Linked DNA regions of Tamandua tetradactyla. The protein of the gene in region 2 purifies or fractionates together with the protein of the main gene of each other region. This does not show direct contact. Links are inferred from orthologs where the notes say so. Each region holds a gene or a part of one and is shown on either strand. Other genes may lie near its edges.

The links.
Region 1: the proteins of PTPN14 (region 2) and PDLIM7 purify together in Homo sapiens (affinity purification with mass spectrometry; 3 studies listed by BioGRID and IntAct, counting the BioPlex papers as one, with this or other methods). This does not show direct contact. The link is inferred for Tamandua tetradactyla from reciprocal best matches to the Homo sapiens genes PTPN14 and PDLIM7.

The regions. Positions count from the first base shown.
Region 1 is NC_135346.1:59,258,289-59,265,841, forward strand, and holds the start of PDLIM7 (PDZ and LIM domain protein 7), read right to left. Parts: upstream 3,086-7,553; 5' UTR 3,001-3,085; intron 2,011-3,000; 5' UTR 2,000-2,010; coding exon 1,904-1,999; intron 1-1,903. UniProt on the Homo sapiens protein: May function as a scaffold on which the coordinated assembly of proteins can occur. May play a role as an adapter that, via its PDZ domain, localizes LIM-binding proteins to actin filaments of both skeletal muscle and nonmuscle tissues.
Region 2 is NC_135330.1:74,016,578-74,024,199, reverse strand, and holds the start of PTPN14 (tyrosine-protein phosphatase non-receptor type 14), read left to right. Parts: upstream 1-4,590; 5' UTR 4,591-5,144; intron 5,145-7,622. UniProt on the Homo sapiens protein: Protein tyrosine phosphatase which may play a role in the regulation of lymphangiogenesis, cell-cell adhesion, cell-matrix adhesion, cell migration, cell growth and also regulates TGF-beta gene expression, thereby modulating epithelial-mesenchymal transition.

The DNA.
Region 1 (7,553 bases), on a different chromosome or scaffold from region 2:
GAGTGGTCAGAGTGGTGGAGAGAAGCCAGTGAGGGCTCTGGGGGAGGTGGTGGTTCTGGTGGAGAGAAGCAGGGAGGACCTCAGGCCAGGGACAGGGTTAAGGCTGGAGCGACCAAGGAGGGGAAAAGCCAGGGGGCTGAACAGTGCAAGGGGTGAGGTGAGTCAGCCTGAGGGCTCCACTGAGCAGCCCAACCCCCCAGTCCCAGACATTACCTCATCTCCCAGCCTGGGCCCACAGCCAGCCCTAGCCCCTCCCTCCATTCTGGGGTCAGGGAAGGGGGAGGGGGCTGGCCCAGCTTAGAAAAAAAAGCCCACCCCCCTGGGGTGGGTCCAACTCCAGGGCTGGGCTCAGCTGGTGGCTCCACCCAATGGGCAGGGGCAGCTGAGGAGGGAGCCTGAGCCCAGAGTGCCCCCAAGAGGCCACATCTGAAAGTCCATCCGAGGTTACTATGCGGCCCACCCCGACAAATGAAGACCCTGGGGCTCAGAGACCAGCCAGGGTCCAGGGCTCCTCCCCGCCACACTGGCCAGCACTTTCCCAGGGAACAGGGATGCAGGGTAGCTTTTCAGGGTTGGCAAGGCTTGAGAATATGTGTTTGAAAGCGCATGTGTGGTAAGGGGAACAGTGCCCTTGGCTACACAGCGGGGCAGGTTCCAGGGGGACCCTGTGGAAGCGTCCCTGGGAAGAGGATTAGACCCTAGCCTGCCCGGGCCACCAAGCTCATCTCCTAAGACAGACTCTACCTTGGGCCTCTCTCAAGCTGGGTAGTACCTGGACCACCCCCTGGCCCCCTCAAGGCTGTGCTTGCCCTGGATTTCCTGCCAACGGCTGCCTGCCCACTGGGCGCTTGGGTGGCCTTTCGGAGCTGGCGGATGTCGGGGCAGGAAGTCCCCACCCTCTTCTAACCCCCAGGCCACAGTGAGAGCCGAGTCACCAGCCTAAGGGCTGGCCTCACCTACTCTGGGCAGGCAGTTTGTTCTGTGCCCCACAAACTGATCCCACAGCTGGGGTGGGGGACTGCTGACCAGCAGGGGATCTGACCTGGACCACCCCTTAGCCAGAGGGATCCACTGACTGCATTCTGGGGTCCAGGTCCAGACCAGCCCTTTTTGGGCTCTGGAGACTCCTGCTACCCGTTGGCTATCCCAGTGTGGGGTTGCATTCTTGGGCTTATAAGGCAATCCCCCTGCCACAGGGAGGGGCCAGCTCCCAGCTCCACCCCTACCAGGGCTCTCTGGAGCTAAAGTCAGAGCCCTGGAGATTGCCCTAGCTGCCCACCCTTGCAAGAGGTCAAAGGCCACCGCATCCTGAATGGGCCCAGTGGGTGGGGACGGAAGGCCTCAAAGAGGCTGGAAAGAGACCCCCTTCTCCCACCCACCAAAACTGCAGGCCTAGTCCCAGTGGCATGGAATCACTAAACTGCTCCATTTCTCTTGGATCCCTGGACTGGAAAAAATAGGATGGCAATTCCTATTCCCTAGGCAGCTGTGAAGCGGAAGTGAAATCTTACAGTGTCTAGCTTGGGGCTTGGCTCCAAGCACTACTCACTTAAGGGGCTTAGACCCTTCCTCTTGCAACCTCAGGTTTCCGTCCTGCAGAATGGGCACCTGCCTGGCCTCAGAGGTAGGCCACTGGAGCTTCACGGAATGGTATGTGGTGCAATGCAGTGCTCAGGAAGGTGTGGGGGTTTCTCTCCCTGTATCCACCTGGATGGGGAATCCCTGTGGCCTTGTTCCATCTGGGCAGGGCAGAGGTCCACCACAGCTCTCCACCTGGATGCTCTCTGACTTATTGGTCCCTGGCTGCCTTCTGCTTGGAATTCTCCCATTACACTAAAGACCCCAGCACCCAAAGGCCCCTGAGAGACCCCTCTTCCCAACCTAGGGCTCAGCCTTGGCTCACCCGGGAGATGGAGAGGGGCACATTGAAATCCTTGCCCCCCTGCAGCCGGAAGCCCCAGGGAGCTGGCCCCTCCAGCACCACCTTGAAGGAATCCATGGTGTCTGCTCCTGGGAGGAGAGAAGAGAAGGTGAGTGGTGGGCATGGTGGGCTGGAGAAGGGCCAAGCTGTGGACATGAGCCTTGGACATGTGCCAGGGAAGCATGGGCCATGCCCTGCACACACGGGGATCGGGTAAGCAGGCACCTTGTCAGGCCTGGGTGTGAACCGCCAGCAGCTGGTTGACAGACCTCACCCTGGAGAACTAGGAGCAGCCCCCCATCCCCAGGGATTGGGAAGGTGGTGGGGAACACGCATCCAGGCTAGAGGTTCTTTGCAGCCAGAGGGAGGTGTCCAGGCTAGGTTGGCAAGGTCTGCCCCCACCAAGCCAGCCGGGAGCCTGGGGCAGTGGGAGCCTGGGGCGGCCTGAGTCAGGGGCCGGCCTTCTCTCCCCCGCCCCCAGGTCCCAGCAGGCAGGCCGCGGCTGGAGCCTGCTCGGACTATATAAGGCGTGTAAGCTGACACTGTGCGGAGAGACAGTGGAGGGAGCACACGGGGGCTCGGGACGCGAGGGGGAGGAGAAGGCAGGGGGAGGGAGGGGGAGGGGGAGGTTGGCGGCTGGAACGGGTCCTAGCCATTCCGGGACGGGCCGAGGCTGCTGGCGGCCAGGGCGGGACCCCTGGGCGCTGGGGGTGGGGAGGTGAGGCGCGGCCCCAGCTAAGATTGGTGGAGGCCGGGCCCCCCAAAGCGTGGCCAGGAAGGGGATGATCCATCCTGGAACCCAGCGGGGCCCACACACAGGCCTGCTTCCACTCCGACGTGACTCAGTTTCCCTCTGGTCCCCCGCCGGGGCCCCTCGCTTTGGCCGGGTCCCGGCCGCAGGAAGCGGCGCAGGCGCCAATCGGCTCCGCCACAGGAAGGCGGGGGCGGGGGAAGGGGCCTCGGCCCGTGGGAGAAAGTGCAGCGCCGGCCACGACCCCCTAATGCCCCCTGTGGTAGCTCAGCAGACCCCTGATCCCCCGTTCGGACAGCCCCGAGACGCCCCGCGCGGTCACCCGTACCTGCTCGGCCCCGCCGGGGCGCTGCTGGGCCGCGGGCTCCCGGGAGCCGCGTTGGGAACGGCGGCCCGGGTTCTGGCCCCGCCCCCGCGGCCGCCGTCCGCTTTGAGCCCGCGATCGGGGGCGGAGCCAGAGGCCACGCCCACGCACAGACCACGCCCATCCGCGACCGACGACTCGGGCCGTGGAAAGCCCCGCCCAACCACGAAGCCCCGCCTATCTTGGAGCTGGAGGGCGCTGCCCAGCTGGTCTCTTCCGTGGGGAGGGATCTAGGGTGGGGCGATGGGCGGGTACAAAAGGGTTCATGGGCGGGGCCAGGGCTGCAGGAACCGCGTGGGGCAGACCCTGCCTGGGCAGCGTCTCGCCCGACCCTTTGCGCGTCCCGCTGGCGTAGTGAAAAGAAAGCGGGCTTTGACACCACACAGACCTGAGCAACATTGCTCCTCTCTGAACTTTTGTTTCCTCCTCGGAAAAATGGTGGACGCTTACCCGCTTTCCAGGGTCTCGCCGTGCGGATAGATATTGCTTGGCGAAAGGCGTAGCCAGCGGCAGCTCCAGAATTTCTAAATCGGAAGGACTTAGTGGGGCAAGACGAGGAGGGACGGGCGAGCTGGAAGCTAGGTTCTGCAAAAAAAAAAAAAAAAAAAGGGAGGAAATGGAGGGGGTCCTTGGCGCCCCCTGAGCCTGCCCTCCCCTGCCCTCCCCCGAGCAGAGGCTGCTCCCCCAGCGCCTACCGCACACGGGGGAGGTGGGCTGGGTCCTGCTACCCTCCCCTTTGAGCAGGCAGCGCCTCCAGTTGGGGTGTCCTGAGAGCCGCCCCCGACTATCCCCAGCGCCCACCCCGGCGCTGCCACCCCGGCGGCTCCGCCAGGCGGCAGGGGAGGTTGACATCCTCTTCTCAAGGTCTGCAGTGACCTCCGGGTTATCCAATCAGTGGCAGTTTTTCGGCGCCGGGCCAGCCTCCTCTGATGGTCCCTCTTCCGGGAAACACTCTTCCCTGGCTTCCTGACTATCTGCTCCTCTTCCCCGGATCCCACCTCATATGCCTCCCAACTTAGCTATCAGAGCCCTCTTCTCTCTTTACTCTCTCTCTCCCTCTCTTTACTCTCTCTCTCTCTCTCTCTCTCTCTCTCTCTCTCTCTCTCAGACCCCATCCTGTCCCATGGCTTTTAATACCACCTGCAGGCCAAAGATATCCACGTTTTATGCCCAGCCCTGATCTCTCCAGGCTCCAAAATCCAGTGCCTGTTGGACAACTGTTCTTGAATGCCCACTAGATACCTCAGACCATCGTGTCCCAATACGATTTTCCCACCTCTCTGATCTCTTCCTCCCTTTTCTAAGTAAATGGCACCATCATTCGTCCAATTGGTTCAGTAAAAACTGTGAAGTCGCGCTTCCTTTCTCTTCTCTCTTTCATCCCTCAGAGTCTGCAAATTCCACCTTCAAAATAGGTCCCACCTCTGGTCGCTTCCAGCCTCTGCTGCCCCTCTTGTCTGAGCCATTGTCATCTTATGCCTGACATCTGTAACTGCCTCCTCACGGGTCTCCTTGCTTCCACTCTTGCCCCCCTCCAAACTCTTCTGCAGGTCGCAGAGTGATATTTTTAAACAGAAATCACACCTTGTTACCTCGTGACTTTCCTATTCCAGGGAGCTGGTGTTGCACTTAAAATCCACAGGTTTGTGACCTACATGCCCCTAATGAACTGAGTCCACCTGCCGCCACCCTCCTTCCGCCACGTTGGCCCCCTTCGCGGTTCCCCCAATGTGCCAGGCACATTCCTGCCTCAGGGCCTTAGCACCTGCTGCTCCCTCTGCTTGAAATACCTTCTCACAGATAGCTAAACAACAGACTCTCTCACTTTGTTCAGTTTCCTGCTCAGATGACACCTCCTCCACGAGGCCTAATTGATTACCCTATCTAAAATAGCCAACCCCTACCATCTCACGATACATTGGTCCCTTACCCTACTTTATTTTTTCTCCGTGGCACTTACCTCTATCTGATGTTATATTTTGTGTTTTTCTTTCTCGAATGCCTCTTGTTCCCATTAGATAGTCCCATGACTATCTTCTCCACACCGTTTCCCTGGTGCCTGCACATGGCAAAGTGAATTGAACAGAGGAAGGAAGGAAGAAAGGATTGAGAAAGCAAAATGGCAAATGAGCAAAGGAAGAAGTGGCAGCCTGGGTGTCCTGGCTGTCCTGCAGCAGAAAGAACTGGGGTCTGGTCCTTGGGTCAGTGTCAGGCTCAGGGCCTGGCTAGAGCCCCCAAGTCCACCCCCCATCCCCCACCACCGTGGGGCTCTCTGCACGTGCAGCCCGTGGGTAGCAGCAGGACCCTGGCTAGAACACAGTGCCCCCTGGTGGCTGGGGCTCCTGCAGCTCCTGGGCCAGACCCCTAGTTCCCTGGAGGCTTGCAAGGACTTTCCCATCCATTGTCTGATTGGAAATTGCGGGAGGCAGAGAGGCTGATATTTGTAATGAAGGAAAGCGTGCCAGGCCAGGGATCCAGAGTCCTGGGCTCCAGTTCTGGCCGTGACCCTAACTCTCCCGGTAGCCTCCAGTGTGTGCTGGGATTAGCAGAGCTGGCAAGGGCAGGGCTTGGGCTTGTTGTGGTGGGAATGAGGAGTCTCAGCAGCAGCCACCTTGGCCAGGAGCCTCCTGGCCTCAACTTGCACATCTCTGGTGACAAGCGCTCTACGGCAGCCTGAGCCATCCTGGAAAGACTTAGCATGTCAGAAGGTGCTTCCATAAGCAAATCTGCAAAATCTGCCTCCCCATAGCTCCATCATCTTTCAGTTTCCTGCTCAGATGGCAGGATCTGTGATCCCCCCAGACCCTGAGTCTGCACTGAAAGGAACCTCCCTTCCCCCAGCCTCCCACATTAAATACGGAGATGTCAAGTGTGCAATTGGATTCTTAGATCTGGAGCACAGGAGAGAAGCCTGGACCCATGGTGCACCTTTGGGAGTCGTCAGCGTTTAGATGGTCTTACCTGGGACCAGATGGGATCACGTAGGGCAGTGAAATCTCCACCTTGGAGGCACACTAAAACCCCCTGGGGGAATTTCATACAAAAGACCCCAGATGCCCAGGCCCCACCCTGACTGTTGGAATCTGAACCCCTTGATGTGGACCCAGACATGGGGATGTTTTTTAAAGGCTCCCAGACGAGTCCACATGTTGCCAGGGTTGAGCCACCCTGTGGTCGTTTCTGAGGCCAGAGCCCCAAATAGAGGTCTGACAGAGCGGGAGACGGCAAAAGAGGCCAGGAAGGGTTCCTCAGAAAGTTAAACTGAGAATTACTGCATGACCCAGTCCTCCGTGTAGACCCCAAAGAAGTGAAAGTGGGGACTCCAGCAGATACTCGTACACCAGCATTCTGGGCAGCATTGTTTACAATTGCCAAAAGGTGTCCCTTGACCGATGAATGGATAAGCCACATGGGGTGTCTCCATTCAATGGACTCAGTTGCAAAAAGGAATGAACTTTTGATACATGTTATAATATAGATAAACCTTGAAAACATGCTGAGTGAAAGAAACTAAAGGCAAATGCTGTCTGATTCAACCAATAGGAAATATCTACACTAGGCAAATTCATAAAGACAGAAAGATTAGAGCTTTTAGGGGGCGGGGAATGGGGAGTCATTGCTTAATGGTTATATAATTTCTGCTTTGGGTGATGACACATTTTGGGACTAGATGATGGTGTTGGCTTTACAGCATTATGAACGTAATTAATGCCACTGAAGTGCAATCATGACAGTGGCTAAAGTGGCACTTTATATATGTTACCTCCATAAAAACATTTGGAAAAAGAGGCTGGGAAGGAGTGACTGCGTAGAAGGAAAACCAAGTGAAGATGGTGTCTCGAGAAGGGATGACAAATGCAGCTGAGAAGTCAGTGGCATCCAGGTGTCACAAAGGGCATCCAGGTCATTTTTGTTTGGGGGGAGCAAGGAGGTTGGTGACCTGGTAAGCGCCATGGAATGGGGTCCTGGGGACTACGGGGTGACTGGAGGTGTGTAGGGGGGTAGGAAATAGGAGGTGAGAAAGTGGAAATGAAAGTAATCAACAACTCTTTTGAGGAGTTTCACATGGAAGAGGAACAGTGAAAGGGGGAGGTGGCTGAAGGGGGAATGCAAGGTCAAGAGAGGTTTTCCCTTAAAGATGTGAAATTACAGAGCTCATCTGCGTGTGGCTGGAAATGGTGATGGTGGTGACACCGCTGGGAGAATTAGTGGGTCTAGCAGAGAGCCTTGAGGAAGCAAGAGGGCCTGGGATCAGAGCACAGGCTGGGGGAACTTACCTTGGTGGGGTTGGGGACAGATGCTTCCACTTTGGGGTCAGGAGGGAGAAGGTGAATGCCGATGCTGGTACACTGTGGTTGCGGTGGGAATTGGAGGATGAGGGTATTTGCTTCTATTGGCTGCCATTTCCCCAGTGATGCTGTGAGGTGAGAGTGGGTGGGGAAGTAGAGGAGCAGGGATGGAGATGTGGGGGAGTAGAAAAGCAGCCCTTCTCGGATGGGATCTCCGGGTGCTGGGTG
Region 2 (7,622 bases):
TTGGAAAAACACAACCCAAAAATCGTTGGCACTATTTCCAGAAGGAGGTAACAAAGGAATAATTCATTTGTGGCCTACGCTGACAGGTACAGTAGTCTCTTTGGAAGTCAGGAAGCCTATTCCTGAGAAATGTATGCAGGAAAGAGAATGAAATGGAAAAGTAACATGGCAGTCAGAAGGCTTGGTGGCTAGGGATGGGGAGTGCATCAGGAATGAGGGGCTTGAGATGTTAGGAAAGAGAGGGAAATAGGAAAGTATTTTGGCATACGTAGGTGTGCCAGGTCTCCTAAAGGAAGTGGAGAGCTTAGGCTCCTCTATGCCTTCACAAAAGTCTTCTATCACCCCACTTGACCAATGTTTGAGAATAGTGTGACTTCCTGGCCTATCAGCCTAGGGAATAGAGGGCTGGACTTTAGACGGCTCCTTCCCTCTGGGGAGCTGAAAGGTCCAGAGGAAAGAAGCCTCAGTCATCTGTGTCAGATACCATGAAGCCTTCTTGAAATGGGGACCTCAGTATTGCACAACTCCAGGGGATGCCATTCTCATTGTAGTCTAATTTAGCTCCTAGAGTTGTATGCTGCAGCATGTGTGGCTCTGCTTGACAGCTCAGTAGAATCAAATAACTTTCCAAAAATCTCCAGATAACAAAAATTCATATTCCAGTGAATTTCTTAACTTGTTTTCGTTAATAAGAAGTTCTGTACGTAAACAGTCATTAAAGCACTTTTTTTCTTTTTTTTTTAGGCGCACGGTACAGGAATCAAACCCGGGTCTCCTGCATGGAAGGCAAGCATTCTACCACTGAACCACCCGTTCACTTCATTAAAGCACTCTTAAAATGTGGTTGTTCTAAATTACGTTTTTCCCTTTCCTTTCCTTCTCTGTTACTTAAGTTTTTGAAGGCATTAATCAAGGCTTATTATATTTTCACTAAGAGAGTGTTTCTGAATTAGAGGGGGTAGGAAAGCATCATAGAACTACTTGGGAAGTTTTTGCAAAATACACCTGCCCAATATATCAAGAGAAGGAATTAAAAAATGTGATATATTCATGGAATGAAATCCATTCTACAATAAAAATGAGTAAAACTGCTGATACATTCAATAGTGAGAATGAATCTTGTAAACATTATATTGAACAAAAGAAGCCAAACATAGAAGTATACTGTTCCATTTATATAAAGTTCAAGAACTAGTAAAACTAGTCTGTGGTGGTAGAAGTCAGCCTGAAAGGGTCAGACTAACTGAAAGGGGGCACAAGGTAAATTTCTCAGGTGATGGACATTTTCTATATCTTGACTGGTTGGGGACGTCATGCAGATGTAAACATATGAAAAAGTCATCGAGCTCTATGTACACTTAAGATTTGTTCTTTTTTATTGAGTGTGAGTTATACTCGATAAAATACTATTTAAAAATGTTATAGGGTGTGCACGAGTAGTTCAGTGGTAGAATTTTCACTTATTGTTCAGGAGACCCAGGTTAAATTCCTGGCCCATTGCACTCATAAAAAAAAAAAAAATTGAACATATGGTGCTGCAATAAAGGGATTCACACGGAAAAGAACGAAATGGAACCCCCAAATGCACAGCATGCAAAAAAAAAAAAAAGAAAAGAAAAGAAAAATAAAAATGTTATATATATACACACACATACCAACTCTAATCTCTGCCACCAACCCAGGGAATCAGAAATAGGGAGCAGAAGATATAGAGGGGATGTGCTTTTTGAAAAAGCTCCCCAGTTCCTCTCATTTCTCCTTTCCTCCATTACTATGTATTGCCAAAAATCCCTTTTGGAATTGGTAGTAGGCTAGGGATAAATACATGCACACATACCTATGACTTTAAACATTTTAGAAGGCCCCCAGGGAAGAGTAAAGTTTTCCTAACAAAGCATGTTTCCTTTCCGGTTTGCCTTGATTGGGAACCTTATTTTGTTTTGCTTTTGAGGATTTCAGTGTCTTTAAGGGATATGATGACTACATTAATATGCGAAACATACTGGAAGCCTGTGGGATTCCTCCTGGCATCCTGTGTTAGCAGCTTGAAGCAGGCTTAGAACAAGTTAAAATACTTTTGGGGGGAAATTTAATGTCGACCGTTCTTAAAATGGCAAGGCTCTAAAGTGATGTGTAGTGATATATTCCAAAAACCAAACTCCTGTTCATCCTGATACATATTAAAGCAGATTCAAACGTGGATGCCAGAGACTTAGGAAATGAATTGCCTTTTTTGAATCGAACCTTGTGACTAGCTTTTGTATATTTAACCAGAGAAAGAAAGGTCTTTTTCATTTAAAGTTGGGGTTTTATTATTATTTTTTTCAATCTTATGTGTACTGCTTTTATTGTTCTACTCTAGAGAAAAAGAAATGTGGCTGCTCAGATACACATTACAGGCTTTTAAAGTAACAATGAAGTTTTTTTTTTTTTTTTACATTCACATGTAACATTATTCAAATTTAAAAATCTAGTTCACAGGGTTAGCCCTAAATCTTAGCTTAATTTACCAATGAACACTCATTGCTATTTACTGGATTCTAAACATCCATTTTGATTCCACCACATCCCCACTGTATCTCGGCTTGATTGCTTCGCTTCCTTCAAAGGCATGCCATCTGCCTGGAGGAGTGTACTTTCCTGCAAGTTTAGACCTGGAAAGTCCTCGGAGATGAACTCATCCAACCCAGCCCCATCCTCCATGTCACACTCCACTAAACTTGAGCCCAGAGGTGAAGTGGCTTGCTCAGGGTCACACAGCTGGTCAGAGGCAAAACCAGAATTCTGATATCCAATTGCAAGTCCTTTGCTCTGTCTTCTACATCACAATAGCCTCAGTGTGCTGCGCTTGGTACAACACACAAATGCCACCTCCCATCTCTCAAGAAAGAGCGGGAGTTGACGGTCCACACTGAGTGCCTACAGGCATTTCTGTATCCTGAATCCTGTTCTGGTCAAGTTTCCAAAAAATGAAGAGCTTGTATTTTGGGTGGAGGAGACTAGGGTTAATTATCATATTTTACTAGCTTTGGTGTGACCTTTGGTGAGCATGCTAATTTCTTCAAGCCTCACTTTCCTCATTTAGGAAATGGGGATAATAATGCAGGAGCATGTGGTGCGCTTAATTTGCTCCCTAATGTTTCCTTTAGAAATTCAGCAAATCCTTATCAAGGCTATCTACTTCCTTGAATGTTTCAGAATCTCTTCCTTCCTCCCCTTTGGTATTTGTGTTGCTCTCTGGGTCCTCTGTAAGTCTTTGTATTTCTAGAGATTGGCAAATGCTCAGTAGACCTCAATCACTGCAGATGTTCATTTGGTGGCTACAGTTAAGGCCTTGGTCTTCGGTTTTCAGTTTTCCTCCCCCAAAGACCCAGGATTTTGTACACTCTCAGGGTATTAAAGCAATTTAGGGCAATATCTTCTCCGACAAGGTCTTAAAGGTTCCTTTTCAGCCTGAGAAAGGATGAATTTGGGTTTGAATCCGGGCCAGATAACAGACCCCCTAGGACATGTTTTTAACAATGGGAAGGGAATACGGAAAAAAACGTAGTCAAGCCTTTTAATTGTACAGCTATTGAAATCAAGGATCACAAGGGCTGGGATACTCTGCCAATCTCCTCGACACCAGCAGGGCAGGGCCCCAGACCCGGGTTCCCCCGCCTGGCTGAGAGCTTTTTCCATCACACCACCGCCGCTCATAAACTCCACCTCCGAAAGTACTGAGGAAGTTCCCTCCCAGAGCCTTCCTAGGCAGGGTGGGGCGATTCTGTGGCATGGCACGGACCAGGAAAACGACATATTCCAACTCTCATATAGGTTGTTTTTAGGATTCCTGGGGGGAAAGGCAGGGGGGAGGGGTGGCTAAGACACCTGGCCCGGTACCGGAAGGTTCAGGGACCCTAGGAGAGAGAGCTCCGAGATGGCTTATGCGGTGAGGCCACCTTTCTTTCTCCTGGCCTGTGTTCCCCCGTGCGATGGCTGCAAGGGGGTGTCCTGCTTGGAGGGCTCCCCCAAGTAAGGTGGGCAGTCCTTGCTGTAGGTCGGGGTTGGGCGAGTTGCGGCCGCGGCCCAGCCCTTGTCTTCGGAGGTCCGAGTGGGATTTTTTTCCTTCCTTTCCGCTCCACCCCCACCCCACCCCCCACCGCGCCAGGAGCGGCGCAGTGTTGGGGTGCGGGGAAGGTGCGGTCAGTTTTTCTTCCCCACTCCCACATTTCTTACTCCAGGAAGTTTCACCTCGTCCTCCTCCCTCAGCCCGCAACTTTTAAAACATTTTCAAAAACTACCACATTAAAAGTGCGCGACTTCCCCGGGGCCTGCAGAAGGAGCTCCCGCAGCCCGGCATTCCTTGGATTCCAGCGCTGTGACGTCCCCGAGGACGGCGCGCCTCCAGCTCGGGCGCTCGGGCTCCACGTTTCAGCGCTCCCACACACTCACACACACTCACACGCGCGCACACGCACAGAGACTCGCTCGCGCGCGCCCTCCGCGCCGCATTCCTCTCCGCCCCCGGCCGCGCGCGCCTCGCGCTCCCTCCGCGCTCCCTCCCGCCTCCCGCCTCCCGGCCCCTGCGCCGCCGAGCCGGGCTCGGGGGTGGGGGAGTCGGGCCGCGGGCGCCGGCTCGGTCCCCTCCCACTCGCACGGCCCCTTCCTCCCTCCTCTCCCGGCTGTTTGCATTTCCTGCCGCTCAGGTCTCCCGGCCCCTAAAAGTTCGTCCCAACTTTTTCTCCCTGGAGCGCAGCGGCCGCAGTCGCGGGGGCAGGTTGCTGCGTTTCTCCTCCCTCCGTCCCCTCCTCTCCTCGCTCAGTGCCCGAGGGAGCCGCAGACGCAGAGTGGCCGCTGGCGGTCCTTCCCCTCCCACCTCACCCATCCTGCCCGGCCTTCTCGCCTCGGCCCCTCTCCGGCGGGACAGACCGGTCCTTAGGTTTTTCTTATTTTTCTCCTCCTTTGCTCCCTTTTCGCGGACTCCCGCGCCCGGAACGGAGCGGAAACCTCCCTCCCCTTTCGCCTCCTCCGGCTCCTGCCCTCCGCCCCTCCTCCGCCAGCCACTGGGATCAGTTCCTTGGGGAATTGGGGCTCCGCCGCCACCGCGGAGGAGAGCGTTTCCGCGCGGGCCCCAGCGGCACCGACGGGGGCCATGTAAGCAGGTAAGCGCCGTGGGGGCCCGCGCAGTCCGGGCCCGAGGTTGGAAGCCGCCTCCGTGCCCGGGGCGCCTTGCAGAGTCCTGGGCAAATACTGGCACCGCCAACTTGCGATGGGCGGCCGGAAACGCCTTGGCAGGGCAGAGGAGGCGCGAGGTGGGAGCTGCCCGCAGTGAGGCGCACAGCTTGTCTGGGGGAGTTGAGCTCGAAGGTGAGCTCCGTCTGGATAGTTAGTAGTTAAACCCACACCTTCTCCCTCTCCTCCCGCATCCCCTTCTGCTTTTGGGGAGCGGGAGAGGGCCTGGAAAGGGCAGTCAGATGCCCAGGCCGTTGAGGCAGGAGGATGAAAGACGCATGACGTTGCAGCCGCTCGAGGGGAGAGGGACACAGCTCCCGGTCCCCACCCCTGCGACAGCATCTTGGGAGGGAGAGAAGAGGTATTTTCATGCCCTTTTACTAGGCCCCATGTGTGCCAACGAACTCTAGGCGTCTTGGCCCCTCCTGGATGGTGGGTCGGACTGGCTTCCCGGGAAAACCTGTGACCACATAATTTCAGAGCAGGTCTCCACCTCACACTTCTCAGGTTCTGAGAATTAGCTATCTCCCCCCCTCCTACCTCCCCCTTGGTGATCCCGAAATCTGGTTTTTGAGTACTTGTAAGTGGGTTTTCCACCTTTTCTTCTGGAGGGAGTCCAGTTCCAGCCTCCCTTTCCCTTTCACCTCTTTCGTTCTTGTCACCCCACCTCCATCCTTACTTAAAATTGTAGGGATTTCGGCACCAGGCTGTTGAGGGGACAGATTCTTACCGGTTATTTGTGAAGGTGGGGGAATGTCTAGACTGCAGGCTGCAGGTACTGTTACAGGGTTTCAACCAGTGTGCTAATTTCCTGTAGTGGATTGGTTCACTCATTCATTCAACAAACGATGTATTCAGTTTCTACTCTGTGCTAGGAACAGGGGATACAAAGTTGCTACAACAAGATAGTCTAGGAGTCAACAGCCTGGTGGAGGGAACCCACTTTACCACTGCAGTGCAATGCCAATTTCTGCCAGAGGGGAGGAAAGGCTTGTTGGAGGGGATGAACTGTGCACTGGGCTTTGAGGTTGGAGGTGGAGCTCACCTGGTGGAGTGATTGGGGGTATGCATTCGAGGTAGAGGAAACAGCTTGTGGAAAATGAATACCCAGTCATCTCAGCAATGAGTACCACAGGGACAAAAACGTCAGACCTAGCTATTTGGGGGCCTGAGGGGGATTTATGGCCCAGTAGGTGCAGTGTTGCTGTGTGAGCATTTAGTTTTTATGCGTGTCAGGAATTAAACTGGCATGCCATCCACTCGTGGGAAATAGGTAGCTCCCACAGGAGAGACAGTCTCCCTGTTCAGACACTTCTCCATGTCTGAGGCTGTTTCCAGAACAAGCAGCAGTTATGTGACCTGCATTTTGTTTGGCACTAATTGGCCCATTCATTAGAATGGTACTGATTTCCTTTTAAAGACCAGTGGGTGATGATAACAGTGCAACATTACAAAACCTTATATCAAAGTTTCCCTACCATTTGGCGATGGGGTTCAAGATTGTGCCATCAAAATGAGCGGGAGCAGAATGGTGTGATGTCGTTTTGTCGCATCTGAGTCGGTGTCTGTGATGTGCAGAGTTGATTCATGTCGGTGTCATGGTGTTTGTAATAGTATTCTCTAATAATAGGGATGTCGTTATTATTAATGTTATTATCGCTTTAGCACAGTTACAAAGGGCCAATTTTCTTTCCTCTGAAACTTGGTATAAACTAAATATGTTCATGCAGGTGCTTGCAGCTTAATGTCCCAGGAGTCAGTGAATCCTGTCTAGAAAATTTTTTAGTGCAGTACCGTTGCGTGGGGTTTGTGTTTCAAGGGTGCCCTTGGCTGGCTGCAGTGGTGTGGTGGTAGTATTCATAGAATCTAAATCCTGGCTGAGGTGGCGGAGGTCCAGGTTTCTGTGACCTCGGGTCAGTAGATCAGAGTGGAAATAACACACCGGCCCCACAATTTCCAGTACATATTCAAGCCTCTCCACCAACATCTCCTCCCAAGAACAGCCCCTTTATAGAAGTTTTTCTGCAAGGAAAAGATGCGTATGAGAGAAATGACCACAAGAGAAGCCCTTCCCTGCTAGTACTAGGTATCTGTCTGCCTAGCTTCCATCATTGGCTTAAAGACAGTTACCCTGTGTTTGAAGCAGACTAATTTATTCTAGTTCATGTGTTGTGTGTGGCATTGACAGCTGCAGTGGAAAGAACAGTTATTTTAGTGTAGAAGAATCATAAAGAATTTACAGAAAAATCGGTTTTGGGGAGGATTTTTTAAAATTTAAATGGTTTTATTTACACATGATATAATCCATCCTTAGTGTACAGTCACTGGTTTTGGGTATAACCACATAATTATGCATCCACCACCAATATGAGAACTTTCTCGTTTCTTCTGGAAAAATAAATTCCCGT